2 linked regions of the Caenorhabditis elegans genome follow. The protein of the gene in region 1 interacts with the protein of each later gene in a pairwise test. Each region holds a gene or a part of one and is shown in the gene's direction. Other genes may lie near its edges.

The links.
Region 2: the proteins of scpl-1 (region 1) and arrd-13 interact in a two-hybrid assay, tested with the Caenorhabditis elegans proteins (one large-scale study listed by BioGRID).

The regions. Positions count from the first base shown.
Region 1 is NC_003279.8:10,091,292-10,096,053, reverse strand, and holds the start of scpl-1 (CTD small phosphatase-like protein 1), read left to right. Parts: upstream 1-1,573; 5' UTR 1,574-1,630; coding exon 1,631-2,189; intron 2,190-2,276; coding exon 2,277-2,375; intron 2,376-3,275; exon of another isoform or gene 3,276-3,392; intron 3,393-4,521; coding exon 4,522-4,628; intron 4,629-4,762. UniProt on the Caenorhabditis elegans protein: Phosphatase which may play a role in the egg laying muscles.
Region 2 is NC_003280.10:13,756,575-13,761,871, forward strand, and holds arrd-13 (Arrestin C-terminal-like domain-containing protein), read left to right. Parts: upstream 1-1,833; 5' UTR 1,834-1,846; coding exon 1,847-2,031; intron 2,032-2,182; coding exon 2,183-2,288; intron 2,289-2,787; coding exon 2,788-2,950; intron 2,951-3,538; coding exon 3,539-4,321; intron 4,322-4,373; coding exon 4,374-4,519; 3' UTR 4,520-4,661; downstream 4,662-5,297.

The DNA.
Region 1 (4,762 bases):
TAAGACGTTTCTGAGCAGATTTTGGATGTTTTTCGAAGGGAAATAGAATATGGAAAAATATTTAAATATCTAATTTTAAAGTACACACGAGGCACAATATTCTGAATTCTATTACCGTTAATCCGTTTCAAAAGGTTTCCTTGGTAACCGAGAGAAGCGATGTAATTCTTGTGAAAAACAATGGCATAGCTTTTTAGACCATAAGGTATTTTTGAATATTTTTCTGGAGACCCTTGACCTCTCTAAATATTTATTTTCCCATTTCCTGCTCCATCATGAATCGAGTCCATCAAAGGAAAAGCCATTTGAAGCGTGAAGAAAGTCGCCGTGAGAGCGACCTTGTTGAGTGACGCCTGCTCCTTTCTTTTGCTCCACGACATTTCCTTTCATCGTGGTCCTTATTTCTTTCTAAAAGCGTGTATATAAACTCTTATTATGATGATTGACGTCCACCTCATGCACCCGAATCTATTTTTATGTTCAGTAGCAGCTCTTTTGAGCTCTCTGGGCGTTGCTTTTCAAAAGCTCAACGTGATTGGCACATTGCCAACATGTGAGACCTGCCGCCGACTTCCGCGCCCTTCATGATCCGCCACTAATCGGTGAGCAAGTACTCGTTGAAGTGAGCAGCAAGTTTATATTACTTATGGTATATACACACACGTCGCGCCTTTACCCTCACGCGGCATACGGCATACGGCAATGCTTATTTGTTCTTTGTCAAGCACTTCTTTTGCACATTTTGGCAGCAGCGCGCACGGAAGGCGCCGCGTTCTTTGCAATAACCAGACTGTGCTCTGGGAGCAGCAGATGATTTAGGGGAAAGATACGAGAAAAGAGAAACAGAAAGAGAGTAGTTTGCGTGCTCATTTCAACAAGCACTTCACCTCTGCCCTCGGGATACCTCAGATAATTTGTGTTTCTGAAGAAGCTAGTTCTTCTTTTTCTTCTTCTTTGTTCTCTGCTCTTTTCACCTCTGAAACCCCTTGAATGTCAATGTTTCTAAAACCATTGAAATTAGATATGTTTGGGTTTTGCCCCGTTTATGCGTTGAAACGAACAAACATTCTATGTATCTTATGTGAGACAAGAAAACAGATTTAGTTCTCTCCAGAGACTCTCCCATCAAAACACACACCTGTCTGTTTTTTTTATTAGCCAACCACTTCCCCATAAATTCTTGCCATGGACTTTTCAACAATAACAAAATTGTTTCCTCATATTTTTATTATTTTTTCTTTCTCTCAATATGTCTAGAGTTTGGGCGGCAATTCTATTATTCGGAAATGAATAAAATTTTGAAAATTTGAAATTTGACAATAGTTATCGGAAAAAAGTTCCGATTACCAGAGATCAAAATCCTCATATTTTTAATAAGTTTTGATCATTAATTTTTTTGAATCATTTTTCTAAAAAATTCGAATTGTCGATTATCGAATTGATTTAAAAAAAACGATTTCCGCCCACTTCGTAATGTTTCAAATATTCTACTTCTTCAATTTTCTTATTAATCTCTATTTCTCTTCGAACATCAAACTTATCATATTCCAAAACCCCATTTCCTTATTTCAAGAAATATCTCGTCGATCCTCCATCATCCACCTTCTTCCCCAGTCATCATAATCATCGGATGACCTACGCTGAATCGACTCGATCCGCCGTCGTCTACTCGTCGATTGTGCCTCCACCACGTACTCCAGTTGGTCCGCCGATGTTGAAAGATGGCGTGCGGAAAGGATCCGCATCGCAACCACTTCAACCAAAAAACGGTGCCAACAGTTTGGACTATTGGAGTAAATCGGAAGATGAAAAGTCTGGAATAACGTGTTACTACAGTCGTCATAATATTCAATTTCCACCACCACAGAGGAAAATGAAACCTGTAAAACCAAATCCTGTGGGAAGGTCAACAATAAATGGATTCACACCATCGACATCATCACCACAAAATGGTCTTAGATATCCACCATTTCCACAGAATACACCAGAATCTGTGATGAGTCCTCCAGTTGGAATCTACCGTAATATTCCCGCAATGCCACGTGCAAAACTTACAAAAGATGAGAAAAATGGAGGGAAAATGAATCGAGATGGTGGAGGAGAAAACCCAAAAAATGTAGTTTGGGGTGGAACATCAAGAAAAGATGATGATACGGCTAGTACACCGTTAAATTCATTTTCAGCCAATGGTGAGATAACCGGGAATGTGAAAAGTTAATTTAAAAATAAACTGAATTGTTTTTTTTTTTGTAATTAATATTTTGTATCAGTTTCAGCATCAATCGAGAAAAAGCGATCAACAGCGAGAAGGAAACCAAGATGGGCACGCTGTTTTCAGACACTTTTCTGTTGTGTGACTCCACCCAGAGAGATTGGTATGTGATTTTTCATTTTAAAATTATCAAAATTCTTTTAAAAATTTGGGGTTATTTAAGTTATGTAGAATGCTCCAAGAGTTCACTAAAAAAAATTTAATTAAAAAAATGAATTTTCAATTTCTGAAGAGAAAATGGATGTAGTCTGAAATGATCCAATTTGACTACAAAAATTTATCTTTTTTCGGGAGTTTTCCTTCAATTTTGCAAATTTTTTTTCAAATTTCTGAATTATTTGTTAAATTGCCACCAAAAACGGTTACTGTAACTCAATAAATTTTTTTAAATAACATTATTTGTAAAAAAAATTTCCTGGAATTTCTGTATGCTTTTCACACTTTCCTATAACAAAATAGACTGAAAAAATTTTAAAAAATTGTTTTGTTTATTTTAAGCGACAAATTTTTGAAATTCCAGAAAAATTTAATATAAAGACATGTTAAAAATTTTTTTTTGAAAATTTCCACAAGAAAAAGCTAAAGAAAAAAAGGAAATTTGGTCTTGTTACAGTAACCAGTTTGTGCGAAAATTTGAAAGTTTTGCAAAAAAAAAGACAAAATTTTAAACACTTTATAGGCATATTCGATAATTTTAGACTATCTTCTATTATTTAACAATTGAAAAATGTTCTTAATCATAGAAAAGTTCAAAATTTCGAGTAATTAATAACGCCGCTTTTATGTTTTCTAGAAAACGAAATGAGTGTTTTCATCTTCATTTTTTCTTTATTTCTCTTTCTCTTCAGTGGTAGTGTTCCAGTTATTACACCAAATCTTCCATCTCTTTCATTTTTATCCATCAAAAACTTCAATCATCAGTCGGAAACCACCCCACGCTTCTGATTTCCCATTCTTGTGTGCATTTCAATATTTCAAAAAAAAAACTCATAATTTCTCCTTTACCCCGAAATTCGCCAATATTTTCCGATTTACGAACGCGGCTATCAAACTTGTCGATAGACAGCAAAGTGAGTTGAACTTTTGCGAAAAAGGAAAAAAAGGCGAGGGCAGCTGGTTTTGATTTATTTGCAAATAATCTCCCCTCAGGCAATGTGTCATGCATAAATACGCAGCTCACGGTCGGAGGGAGTACCGCAACTTTTTGAACTTTCAATGTTTGCATATGAGAAATGAAGGAAAAAAATCTCGTTTAACATTTTAAAAGTAGCATTAAAAATTAGTATTAGGGATTTTGAAATACCAAAAACGGCTTTAAATTATCCAAGATATTCAGAAATTCAGAAATACCAAAAGAACAAATTTAGAACTTTCAAAAATAACGCATATAACGATAGAAAAATGTATTGATTTGTTAATGATTATTTAAAATTGTTTGTTTGGAAAGTTTCTCAGCGATTTTCTTTCTTCCGATTACTAGGTTTTCTTTACAGAAGAATTCCTGAAAAATGTCACTCGTTTGCGCGGGAATTTAAATTGAATTCTGCCGTATTTTTCATTTTTGCAAAATAGGAACAATCATTTCAAAAACAATACTTTGGAACTCTTCCCAGACAGAATCTGTCCTTGTCAAATCATCGATGTCAAAATTGACAACTTTGAAACAAAGAATATTATTTTCCCAGACATTTTCTTCCTCGCTGCTCATCAGAAAATATCATCATTTTCTTTCTTATCTCGAATTTCAACGAAAAAAGATGATCAGAACCCCCGCACAGTTGGATTTTCGGATCCTTTCGAAACATCTGGTGCCACTCGATTCCTGGCACAACGCCTTTCACAAAGAACTATGATTTATGAACATGAACTTTTTTTTAAAGTTTTGTGGGTGTAGAGATAAATAAAATTTAATGATTTTCCGATGAGCATGCATGAGGCAACTGCTCAGTGATCAGATATCACAAAAAATCATCTTAAGGGTGGAATACCGAAATCTGGGAATTATTTTTAATTGACTCCAAATTGCCCCTGAATAACGAATGTGTGAAAAAATTCAAAAAAATTATCTGATGTTATATTTGATTTATATTTTTTTCACATAAATATTCGGAATCAGGGGCAAATTTTGAGTCAATTAAAAATATTTCTTAGATTTCAGTACTCCACCTTTAACAACAATTACCGTAACCAAATTTCGGCAATTGAATGAAATTCTAACAAAATTGGAGAAAATATTCATAAATTTTCAGAAAAGATACAATCAAGCCAACGAACGAACAGTACAAACAACAATCATCAGAATGGAAGACCATCTACACCAACAAATACAGGACCACCCATTCAGCTTATCACACAGGTACATTGGTTTCTTCTGAAAATGCACAACATTGGAAAGAAATTGTGCATTTATTGAAATGTTTCAAGAAACATGTACTTTTGAAAGTAGAAATTTCGAATTTTTGCATTATTTCAATCCACAAAAAATCTGAA
Region 2 (5,297 bases), on another chromosome or scaffold:
TTTTTTTTTTTTTTTTAGTTCTTTAGTTTTTTTTTTACTTAACAGTTTTGTCTGAGGAAATATTTTTCTGAGTAGTGTGTGTTAGTCACCCCGATTTTGCATTTATTCCTAACAAATATATAATAGGCTGGGTTTTGAAATTCTATTTAAAAAAAAACTGGTCCTATAAAAACGGACGATGAAATTAATGAATTTTTTTTATTTTTAGCATGTTTTAAAGCTATTTTTCTCCATTGTTTGACCTTTTTTGCCAATTTGCCCATTTGCCGGAAATTTCAATTCCGACAAATTGTCGTTTTTCCGACAAATTTTAAATTCCGGCAATGTGCCGATTTGCCGGGATTTTTCATTTTTGGCAAGTTGCCGATTTTCCTAAAATTTCGGCAAATCGTCAATTCGCCGGTTCCCCGATTTGCCGGATATTTTCAATTTTTCCTTTTTTTTTTCAAAATTTGCAATTTGCCGATTTCCTGATTTGCCGGAAATTTCAATTATGGCAATTAGCCAATTTGACGGATATTTTTAATTCCGGCAATGTGCCGCTTAGCCGAAAATTCAAATACCGGCAATTTGCCGATTTGCCGGAAATTATTAATTCCGACAATTTGCCGATTTTCCTAAAATTTCGGCAAATCGGCAGTTTGCCGGTTCCCCTATTTGCCGGATTTTTTTTTTCAATTCCGGCAATTTCCCGATTTGCCGGAAATTTCAATTCCGACAATTTGCCGATTTTCCTAAAATTTCGGCAAATCGGCAGTTTGCCGGTTCCCCTATTTGCCGGATTTTTTTTTCAATTCCGGCAATTTGCCGATTTGCCGGAAAAATCGTTTGCCGCCCACCCCGGGTTCGGCCATTTCTAGCATATTTTTCTCCGTTGTTTGACCTTACAAATTAACTTTCCCGAATGTCAGAAATTTTATCACTATTTCCTATTTAATCAGTAATGCTTCTCCTATGTCTTCTTCCGTTTAGCTTATCAATTCTTCCTGTTTGTGAGCAACGTTTCTTTTTCACAAGTTTAATGGAAAAACGTTGGTCTTTGCCCCGTTCTTTTATCCTCGCTGTTCCCTTTATTTCTCTGCGGCTCTTGCGGAGTGCGATTTTTTTGACCTTCAATACTGCATGTGTCTGTTTGCTTTGTTTCGAGCGGCTATTCCGTAATTTTCATGAAATTGTAAAAAAAAATCTAGTAAAAAATCGTTTAAGAAATTAGAATCAGTTATTAATTTTTTTTTAATTTGAACTTTTAAAATTTATTCTATTACCCAGACACGAGATTTCGCGATTTTTGAGCCACAAATACCAAACACCGGTCTCAACACGACAAATTCTTGATAGAAAGGAAAAGGCGTTCGCCTTTAAAGCGTACTGTAATTTCAAACTTTTGTTGCTGCAGCGATTTCAAATTTCTATGGATTTTTCATAGTTTTATTTTTATATTTGAGAGTTTTTTTTGCTATATTCATGTTTTCCATAAATTAATACATTTTTTTTATCGAAAATGTGTTTATTAGTTATTGAAAACTAAAATCAATTAAAAAAGAAATTTTGAAACTACAGTACTCTTTAAAGGCGCACACTCCTTCTCAAGTACGCAAACACCACATTTTATGACAATTTCTGCAAAATTTATTTCGCTCCTTTTTTTTGAATTAAATTAAATTGTTTTTTTCCTTTCCTTTTCAATTAAAATGCATAATTTTTTTCTATTTTTTTAAAATAAAATATTAAAAATCAAAAATTCGTTTTTTTTTAAATTTTCAGTGTTCTCTCCACCGATTTTCTTCCGGTTTTTTGAATTTTTTAACGATTTTTTAACGATTTTTGTCTAAGTTCCAGGGTTATCATGCCAGAAACGGAGCTTCACGTGATATTCGACCAGCCTAACGAAGTTTTCTTCCCGGGACAACCGATTTCCGGCCGAGTGGTGCTCTCAACGACGAAGGAAAAATACAAGGCTCGGGCGGTGAATATCAAAATTTTGGGATTGGCTCACACCAGTTGGACGGATTATGAGAGTGTTCGCAGAGTGTAAGAAATTTAAGATTTCTGTAGAAAATTTCATTTTTTTTTTGACGAAAAAGCTATTTTTCAAATTTTTTAAAATGGAAAATTGAATAATCAATAAATATTTCCGAATTTTCGAATAACACTAAAAAATTATAAAATTCGAATTTTCCAGTGACGCCGACGGAAAAGTGAGCCACCACCGGCAATCTGTGCACTACTCTGCGAATGTGAACTACCTGGATTATACATTGCTTCTGTGGGCTTGCAAAGATGGATCGGTAGGGTATTTTGAATCAGGGATAGATAGGCAAACCGGCAAAATCGGCAAACCGGCAAATTGACAATCTGCCGCTTTCCAAATTTCCGGCAAAGATGGCATATTGCCGTTTTTCAAGTTTCCGGCTAATTCGGCATATTGTCGTTTTTTCATATTTACATCAAGTTCGGCAATTGCCGTTTTCCAAATTTTCGGCAAATTGCTGTTTTTTTTTTAAATTTCCGGCAAAGTCGGCAAATTGTCGTTGTTCGAATTTCCGGCAAAGTCAACAAATTGCCGTTTTTTCAAATTTCCGGCATATTCGGCAATTGCCGTTTTCCAAATTTTCTGCAAATTGCTGTTTTTTTTTTAAATTTCCGGCTAAGTCGGCAATATGCCGTTTTTTCAAATTTCCGGCAAAGTCAACAAACCGGCAATTTTCCGATTTGCTGAAATTTTCGGTAGCTCAAAATGAAGAATGGTTGAAAATTACAATTATTAGATATCTGAATATTTGTCAGAACGAGTTAGCAGCTGGAGAATACGCCTGGTCATTTTCTTATAATCTTCCTCTCAACGTTCCGCCAAGCTTTGAGGGAAAATATGGATATTTGAGATACTCGGTGACAGCTGAAGTGGATCGGCCATGGAGATTGGATAAGGCAAAGAAGCGATGCATCACTGGTAAGGGCTACAGTTTTAAGCCTAAGCCTGACAATCTAAGCCTGAACCTAAGCCTGAGCCTACGCAGCTGAAGCCTAAGCCTAAACCTAACAATCTAAACATAAGCCTAAGTCTAAGACTAATCCTAAGCAGGAGTGGCATTTTTCGATTTTTCGATGTTTTTTCAGTGAAAATTGAAAAATCGAAAAGAATGTTAAGAAAATTAACCATAAAATATGATTTTTTTTAAAATCTAATTTTGCTTATATTGATGAGAAAAAAACATCAAAATTAATTCTAAAAATAAGAATAATGGCCAAAATATTGTGCTAATATTTTGGAAAATCTAAAAAATTTTCGCAAAATCAGAAAAACGATAATTTTTTAAACATTTTTCGATTTTCAAAAAAATCGAAAAACGAACACCCTTGATCCTAAGCCTAAGCATAGGCCTAAGCCTAAATCTAGACCACTGTCTAAGCCTAAGCCTAAGCCAAAGCATAAGCCTAGGCCTAAGCCGAAGCTTACGCCTAAGCCTAAGCCTAACGGTCTAAGTCTAAGACTAACATTCTAAGCCTAAGCCTAAGCCAAAAATTCAAACATTTTCAGTTTCCCCACTGATCGACCTCAATGTGATCCCCCATGCACTCACCCAAATCAACGACCAGGCTAGCGAGAACCTTGGCTGTTGCTGCTTCAAAAAAGGATATCTCGAACTTCGTGTAAACATCCCGAAAACTGGATTCGTACCCGGCGAGACTGTTCCCATGAACATCCATATTCTAAATCACTCCTCCGTTCCCGTCACCGAAGTCAAGGCGAAAATTATTCAGCAGTGCAAGTTCATTGCATATCGAAACGGTACCACCTTCCATTATGGCGGAGGCTATGAGACTGGAATGTCCGGACAGCTTCAGGAAACCAAACACGACACGAAGACCGTCGTCAAGCATGGCCAGGAAATGACAGTGGCTCCCAGGAATGAGCACAAATTTGCGATGGAGCTCCGTCTTCCGTCTGTAACTCCAACCATCAATCAGTTCTCACCGGTGATTACTGTAGAGTACATTGTGCAATTCCACGTGGAGACCAGCTCAACATTCGGGAGTGATGTTGATTGTGAAATGGGGATCCTGATTGGAACAGTGCCTATTCGGCAGTTCCTTCCACCAGCCTACTATCCACAGGATCCGAATCTTCCACAGATCCTGCCAACTCCGATTGGAGGAGGGGTTGTTGCTCCACCACCAGGGTATGGATTCTTGCCGATGGCAGATGGCTCGGAGAAGGGAGCTGGTGATGCATCATATCCAGCTGCCAGCATGCCAATGTATCCTATTCCGAATGTCCCATATCCTAGCAAAGATGATGGTACTGTAGTGATTCCAAGTGGTGAGTTACTCAGAAGTCCAGCACAATTCTCTAAAATTGCAAATTTTTCCAGCTCCACCACTATCCTACGAAGAATCAATGTTTGGACAAGATGGAACCGAGCTCAACACTGATGAAAATGAGCAACCATTTGCTCCAAAATACCCGGTTTTCAACAATTTGCCAGTTTATAATCCGACAGCGCCACCACCGGAATAATCCGAAGAATGAAGGATTTTCATCGGACTCTGCCCTGCTTTGCCGAATATTGTTCAAAATTATCATTGCTTTTAAAATGTTTTTTTGCCTGGTTGGATGTGTTTTTGTTTTATTTTAATGCATAAATTATTAAACTTCAATCGAATACTTGACATTGAGCAAAAAATGACTAATTGCCGGAATTGAAATTTCCGGCGAATCGGCAAATTGCCGGAATTGAAAATTTCTGGAAAATCGGCAAATTGCCGGAATTGAAAATTTCTGGCATATCGACAATTTGCCGGAATTGAAAATTTCTGGAAAATCAACAAATTGCCGGAATTGAAAATTTCTGGAAAATTAACAAATTGCCGGAATTGAAAATTTCTGGAAAATCAACAAATTGCCGGAATTGAAAATTTTTGGAAAATTAACAAATTGCCGGAATTGAAAATTTCTGGAAAATCAACAAATTGCCGGAATTGAAAATTTCTGGAAAATTAACAAATTGCCGGAATTGATAATTTCTGGCAAATCGGAAAACTGCCGGAATTGACAATATCCGGCAAGCGGCAAATTGCCGGAATTGAAATTTCCGGCGAATCGGCAAATTGCCGGAATTGAAAATTTCTGGAAAATGGGTAAATTGCCGGAATTGAAAATTTCTGGAAAATGGGTAAATTGCCGGAATTGAAAATTTCTGGAAAATCAACAAATTGCCGGAATTGAAAATTTCTGGCATATCGACAATTTGCCGGAATTGAAAATTTCTGGAAAATCAACAAATTGCCGGAATTGA